2 linked regions of the Pelodiscus sinensis genome follow. The protein of the gene in region 2 purifies or fractionates together with the protein of the main gene of each other region. This does not show direct contact. Links are inferred from orthologs where the notes say so. Each region holds a gene or a part of one and is shown on either strand. Other genes may lie near its edges.

The links. Proteins that work in one complex are often made in the same cells at the same time.
Region 1: the proteins of RAF1 (region 2) and LRRC59 purify together in Homo sapiens (affinity purification with mass spectrometry; 3 studies listed by BioGRID and IntAct, with this or other methods). This does not show direct contact. The link is inferred for Pelodiscus sinensis from reciprocal best matches to the Homo sapiens genes RAF1 and LRRC59.

What each region holds. Positions count from the first base shown.
Region 1 is NC_134730.1:13,989,744-13,993,490, forward strand, and holds the start of LRRC59 (leucine-rich repeat-containing protein 59), read right to left. Parts: upstream 2,943-3,747; 5' UTR 2,791-2,942; coding exon 2,705-2,790; intron 2,527-2,704; coding exon 2,418-2,526; intron 1,011-2,417; coding exon 951-1,010; intron 1-950.
Region 2 is NC_134721.1:47,893,505-47,897,251, forward strand, and holds the start of RAF1 (RAF proto-oncogene serine/threonine-protein kinase), read right to left. Parts: upstream 2,735-3,747; 5' UTR 2,711-2,734; exon of another isoform or gene 2,415-2,710; intron 2,357-2,414; exon of another isoform or gene 2,212-2,356; intron 1,621-2,211; exon of another isoform or gene 1,597-1,620; intron 1-1,596. UniProt on the Homo sapiens protein: Serine/threonine-protein kinase that acts as a regulatory link between the membrane-associated Ras GTPases and the MAPK/ERK cascade, and this critical regulatory link functions as a switch determining cell fate decisions including proliferation, differentiation, apoptosis, survival and oncogenic transformation.

The sequences.
Region 1 (3,747 bases), on a different chromosome or scaffold from region 2:
GCTGTTTGTGTTATGAGGGAAAGCTACCCTCTTCCTCCTCTACATCTAGACGTACCCTAGGACTGTAATGTAGGGAGCAGTGGATAGTCTCCTAAACAGGGCTATATATAGCAATATAATTACAATGGACATAAGACAGATGCTTTTGGTATCTAGCTGGTAGAGCACTTTGGAATAGAAGCTGCTATCACTGAGTACATTCATTTTCTGTAAGAGCACTGTGCTATGCCAGCCAACCTCAGTAAAAGTTAGTCACCTCTAAAGGCCCCTCTATAACAGGGGCAATGTCATTTATCCTCCCAAGAATCATAGAATAATAGGACTGGAAGGGACCTCGAGAGGTCATTGAGTCCAGCCCCCCGCCCTCAAGGCAGGACCAAGCTCCATCTACACCATCCCTGACAGATGTCTATCTAACCTGTTCTTAAATATCTCCAGAGAGGGAGATTCCACCACCTCCCTTGGCAATTTATTCCAATATTTGACCACCCTGACAGTTAGGAATTTTTTCCTAATGTCCAATCTAAACCTCCCCTGCTGCACTTTAAGCCCATTACTCCTTGTCTTGTCCTCAGAAACCAAGAGGAACAAATTTTCTCCTTCCTTCTTGTGACACCCTTTTAGATATTTGAAAACCGCTATCATGTCCCCCCTTAATCTTCTTTTTTCCAAACTAAACAAGCCCAGTTCATGAAGCCTGGCTTCATAGGTCATGTTCTCTAAACCTTTGATCATTCTTGTCGCTCTTCTCTGTACCCTTTCCAATTTCTCCACATCTTTCTTGAAATGTGGCGCCCAGAACTGGACACAGTACTCCAGCTAACATAAGAAGCTAACATAACTGCTAGTTATCAAATTCCCACCTCATCCTCCCATGAAGGCTAGTATCCTTCTACAGATATTTTCAAGCAGATCCCACCCTCTTCCACAAAGCTTTTCTCTCCTCTTACCGGTAAGGAAGTGAGATTGTTACAGGACAAATCCAATATGGTAGCCTTTGGAAGGGCAGCCTGAAAAAGAGCCAAGGAACCAAATTAAACCTATATCAAAGCTACAAAAACAACAAGGAGTTCCGTGGCACCTTAAAGACTAATATATTTATTTGTGCATAAGCTTTCATGGGTAAAACCCACTTCATCAGATGCACTGGAGTAGAAATTACAGAGATAGGGATATATATGTACTAGTATAGGGAGTTACTTATCAAGAGTTTGACCAGTGACTGAATTGGGCTCATTAACACTGGTCTTACACTTGATAACTCCCTTCTTTTGATATACATGTATGATATTGAGATTATATATATATATATTATATCTGCTTTTCTAATTTAGTGGGTTTTACAAAAGCTTATGCCCAAATAAATCTGTTAGTCTTTAAAGTGCCACAGGACTCCTTGTTTTTGCAGATACAGACTAACACAGATACCTGAGACTTATCAAAGTTACAGTTCTTTAACATGTTTGATACTTTGCTGCTTATATTTAAGTTTTTTGGGATTTCTCCCATACATGGAGTTTTAAGAATTTCCCAGTTGCCACCATTCAAATTATTTTTGCAACTCTCTTACATCTCACTCAAAGTCAGGGTTTTATGAGCACTGCTCCCACTGAAATAGGTTCTTTCACCCAAAGCCTCCATTTAATACACAATCTGGATTAAACCAGATTAGATCAATAGGAACACACTTTTCTTCAGGTCACATCAATCCCCAAAGTCAAAACAACAGGAAAGATTCAAGGTTGCATATCCTTATCTTCCCTTTTTTCTTCAAACCAGGAGAAACAGTGTGAGTGTGCCTTTAAATACTGAATTGGCATTACCTTGAGCTGGTAAAAAACAAAATGTACACAGGGCCCAATGCATCCCCAGACCTCAACCCCACCCCTTCCTGGACCAATCTGTAATTCACAAAGACCAAGTGTAATCTCAAAAGCTCCCCTGCAATACCTTAAGGCTACATCTACACTGGCATGATTTTCCGGAAATGCTTAAAATGGAACAGTTTTCCGTTATAAGTATTTCCATAAAAAGCACGTCTACATTGGCAGGATGCTTTTCCGGAAAAACACTTTTTCTGGAAAAGCATCCGTGCCAATGTAGACATGCTTTTCCGCAAAAAAGCCCCAATCGTCATTTTCGCGATCGGGGCTTTTTTGCAGAAAAGAAATCTGTGCTGTCTACACTGGCCCTTTTCCGGAACAGTTTTCCGGAAAAGGACTTTTGCCCGAACGGGAGCAGCATAGTTTTTCCGGAAAAGCACTGATGATTTTACAGTAGATCGTCAGTGGTCTTCCAGAAATTCAAGGGGCCAGTGTAGACAGCTGGCAAGTTATTCCGGAAAAGCGGCTGATTTTCCGGAATAAGTGGCCAGTGTAGACACAGCCTAACACTTCCCAGAAAAGACTGATACTGACCAGCTCTTTGACTGGCACCTCATTCAGGTCACTCAGGCTCAAGTCCAGTTCATTGCCATCAAGTTTGTCTTTCAGGTTCACTCCTTTTCCTCCCGCTTTTGCCATGATCCTATTAACAGATAAAGAGTCGTAAGTAGCTCACCAAAGGGCCTCCTTTTTTGGGGGAAGGAAAAAAGATCAGGAATGGAAGAAGGGGCACCAAAAGAAATTGGCAAACCCCTAGATTTTCTTTTAAGCTGTATCTACCTAACAATTACAGCAGGAGTCTGGACAGCTGTTGTGCTCACCTTTTAAAGCCAGGGATATTTTGATCCCCTTTTAGATCTTGCTCTGGATGCCAGAGTGTTTGCCAGTTCAGGCTAACTGTGGACATGGTTTTTGCAACCTGTCTACCAGGAACTGGACTGACAGCCCATTTAGCAGAGGCTACTGAAAGGCCACCAAATGGGAACAACTATTAGTCTTTCCTTTTTACCAATTCAAGCTGAATATGGATTGTAAACCTATACCTGTGACACCTGATAGGCATCACCACCCTTCCAGGATTTTCTGGCTAAATGAGCAAGAATTTTATTTTCTTAGAAATAACCCAACCTCCTCCGATGCCCCTCATGCCAGCAGGACATCTAGGCACAGTGAGAACACTGTAAGGTATCTGTTTGTCCTACTACCAAGAGTAGAATTGATTGGGTTGTGGTGGGGGGAATCCAAGGGTCTTTTTGAAGAGAGCTCTCTGAAGGGCAGAAGTACAAGAGAGGATGGTGAATGGAGGGAGCAAATACGTAGAGGTGGAAGCGGAAATGCTGTTTAACAGCAGTGGCCCAGTTCCCGGACTCTGTCCCACCACATCTTGCTGTAGCTTTGGAATGTTTATTCCTTTGCATTCCAGTAAGGGAGAAAAAAAGCACAAAGGCAGAAGTGGGACATATCCCCTCTGCCCCAGCAAGCCACTAGAAAGAGTAGGCGACCCTGTCCCCCAGCAGCTCCATCTCCTGTGGGAACGCCCCAGCCCAGCCAAAGCTTCCCCGCAAGGGACCAAGGGAGCCTCAGACTGCCAGTCTCCCCAATACCCCCCGCACAGGGCCCCCCCTCTCCCCAATACCCCCCGCACAGGGCCCCCCCTCTCCCCAATACCCCCGGCACAGGGCCCCCCCTCTCCCCAATACCCCCGGCACAGGGCACCCCCCCATGTCCCCACACAGGGGGGCCCCCTCTCCCCAATACCCCCGTCCACCTCCGCACAGGGCCCCCCCTCTCCCCAATACCCCCCGCACAGGGCCCCCCCTCTCCCCAATACCCCCCGCACAGGGCCCCCCTCTCCCCAATACCC
Region 2 (3,747 bases):
GTGCAGAAATATGGATGGCACAATGCGGTCTTGCCACCCTTATTTTTGTGTTCCTAGCTACAAGAGCTGGGCCCTCAATCAACAGCAGCCATGCTGTGGCCACCCAACTCCGATGGCAGCACTACAAAAGTAAGGATGGCATTGTATAGTATTGCCACCCTTATTTCTGTGTTGCTGCTGGTAGGGCACAGCCTTTGCTATCCAGCCAACCACACTTCTGTACTGTCTTCAAAGCTGGGTATTAATACTGCAGCCCTCCTAAAAAAACTTTGCAATTCTGTTGGAACTCCCTTTTTTGGGTCAGACTTCCAATTTCAGAAATGCTGATCTCCCCCATGAAGTCTGTATAGTAAGTATAAGGTAAAAGCACACAAAAAACCAGATTTCATGGTCCACGATGCATTTTTCATGGCCATGAATTTGGTAGGGCCCTAAATATTAGCCATTTACAAGCTTTTCAAAACAAATGACATTTTTAATCTTCTTTTATACAGTCTCTCTCAAATATTTTCCAGCCACCATGCCTGGCCTGACTTTCTGCAGCACTCCAGGCAAATAAAATGTGCAAACCCTCACTCAGTTTTCTTCCCTTCTTTGCATACATAAGACCATCTCCAACTGCCTCTTACAGGTCTGAAACACATTCCCAGTTTGACAATTCCATTTCAATTGGTTCTGAAGCCCTAGAGCCTCAGACAAAATCCTTTTATTTATGAACAAAATTCAGACATTATTAAGGTGGAAAGCAACATCAGGGATGTACATTTCAGAATCTGAGCTAACAGACAAGCGGATGCTATTTAGAGGCACATTTGTACGCCTACCAGAACCTTAGCTACATGTGCTCTATGTAACAATATAATCGTTACGTTCTGCTCTAGCGAAAGACCTTGTCTACATTGCAAAGGTGCCCCAGTTTAACAAGTTATTGCATATTTGGTTCAAGTATTTAAAAGTTCTGTAGACACACTCTTATTTAGTTCACAAAAGGTTTATTTAATTTGAGCTCAAGTCAACTGAGAAGTGGTTTAAATGAAGCCAAAGGAGGTAGCACAAAAACTGCAATACCAATGTACACGCAATGGTTTGCCTAGGGATTTTAAAATGTGTTTAATTAAGTAAACATGTAATTACCGAAAGTTCCTATGGTCGAGGGGAGGAGTCAGCTTCCTACATGGAATGCCCCCCCCCCCCCCGCTGACTGAGGGGGGGGCTAGGTGGCTCCCCAGGAACCAGGGTATGTGAGACCCATGTGTACTGGGACCCTGACAGTTAACCAACGAGCCCAGTGTTTGACAACTGATTCATTTACCCATAAGAAGATTCCCACACTTTCTGTTCTCAATGAAGCAGAGCAAATCAAGGTGGCTCTGAAGTTGAAGGGGCTATTACTGTGCTCACAGATCACTAGATACTTGACACAACAGTCTCTAGTTCTATGCAGTATTCCTACAGCTCATTTCAGTGCACTTAAACACATCTCATCCTCTCTCAGGGTAGCACTCCAGAGACCCACTGCTCACCTGTCCCGCCAGACGCAGTAAACAGTGCGTGAGGATTTAAACAACAAACCAATATGGCAAAGAAGGAACAAACCTAAGCAGGAAGGGCTCAGCTGCACAGCACGCATGCCCCACACACTCCTCAGCCACTAGGCTCGCGTCCCAAGCAAACCCCTTCCTGCAGCCCCGCTCCCCGCAGGAGGGATACTCGCTCGGCTCCCAGTCACCCCCTGCGGGCTCGCCAGAGGAAACTGCCCCGCCATCAGCCGGGATTGGCAGCCCCTCCCCTGGCCCGCAGCGCCTAGGGACGGAGGCGCCCCCTCCCCCTCCTGGCACCTTCCGCGGTGCCACTGCGCAGCCTGCGGCGCCCAGCTCAGGCCCCGAGCGGGAAGGGGTCCAGCTGCAGGCCCCCCTCGCCCTGAAGGGGCCGCCCCCGCCCCGTGCCGTCCCTTCGCCGCTCCTGGCGCAGCCGCCGCGCAGGGCCCTCCGCCCATGCCGAGGGACGAGAGGGTCACTCGCTGACACCGCTCCCCAGCGGGGCGGCGGCGTCTCCTCCCCAGGCGGATCAGTGTCCTCGGGGTTCAGCGACGGGGCAGGGAGCCGCTGACTCGGCTCCAGGGGAAGGAGCTAGGAAGCAGCGCCCGGCCGAGGAAGGGGGACCCCCCGCTGTCCGTGCCCCGCAGGGCTCGGGCCCCCACACTGCCCGTACCTCTCCCACACTGGCTCCCCCGACTCGCTCCTCACTCGCCGCCGCTCGTTCCGCTCCCCATCTAAAATGGCGGCCTCAGCCTCCGAGAGACATTTCTCATGAGCTCATCGATCAAGCCGACGCTCGGCTACTTAGCCTTCCCCTCCCCCCCGCCCCCTGCCTGCCTCGACCGCCGAGCCATGCATGAGAACCCCACCCCCTGCACCACACGCAAACCGCCATTTGGGAGCTGGCAAGCCAAAGGGGGCGGGGCGAGCCCGGCTCCAGCAGGGCAGCGCGGCCTGAGGCGGGCCTTGTGACAGCCCGCGCGCCCTCTCCCGCCACTGGGGGCCGCCCTTCTCCTCCGGGGAGCAGGGGCCGGCTGCCAGCGGCGCGCAGAGGCGAGCTCGCCGTCCCTGGGGCGGGAAGTAGCCTGGCAGGAGGCTGTCGGGCTGCTCCCCCTTGTCCCGGTAGCCGGGGCCTGGGCTCCCCTAGGCGCTGCTCGTTCCCCTGTGCTGACCTGCTCGTGGATGTGCCTGCTCGCACCCAGCCCGCAGAGCAGCGGCAGGCAGGAAAACCGCCTTCTCCACGGCTAGAGGCCTCGCCAACCTACGGAGCACGATGCAGCGCTGCGGTGACCCCGCCCCATGCTGCCCCAGTTGCCTGGCTCCTCGGTTTTAAACTCTGCTGCTCCAGATGCACGGACCAGAAACCACCCTGGTGCCTTTACAGCAGGCTCTGTGTCTTTCATTGCCCGCCTTGGTAAGCCTACCTGAGTGCATGGAGCTGCTCAGCTTCCATGCCTGCCACATGCACTAGCTGTGTTCCTGCCTGGATTATTGGGAGCTAGTGGGTCTGTGCTTTCACAGCTACAGGCCACCTGTAGAAACGTGGGTCTTTTACAAGTGAGCAAAGAGTAGGGTTGCCAGGTGGCTTCAACAAAAATACTGGACACACTTGACATTACATCACAATCGACATTACATCTTATTTAGAAAATACCAGACAGTTATATTTCTCTTCAGGAATCAAATTGAGAAAATGTCTGGTATTTTCTAAATAAGATGTAATGTCGATTGTGATGTAATGTCAAGTGTGTCCAGTATTTTTGTTGAAGCCACCTGGCAACCCTACTCTTTGCTCACTTGTAAAACACCCATGTTTCTACAGGTGGCCTGTAGCTGTGAAAGCACAGACCCACTAGCTCCCAATAATCCCCTCCCTGCTATAACCCAGTCCCCTTTCTCCCCCAACCTTATGTCTTGGTCCTAACAGAAACCACGGCTTGAAACGCAACCCCCCACCTTTTCCATTATTTTCAATGGGAAAATTGACCCCACATAACATGTTTTCACTTAACATGATCATTTTCTGAAACATATCTATAGTGTTAAATGAGGAATTACTGTAGTTTTTCTGTTAAGTTATATTAAATCTTGTGTCTAGTTCTGCCCTCAGATTCACATTTTCAACTCTCAAGGCCTTAATAGGAGATATATATTTATCCAATCACAAAATCTGGCAGAGTGTACACTAGGGATGTAATAGTGTAGTTGA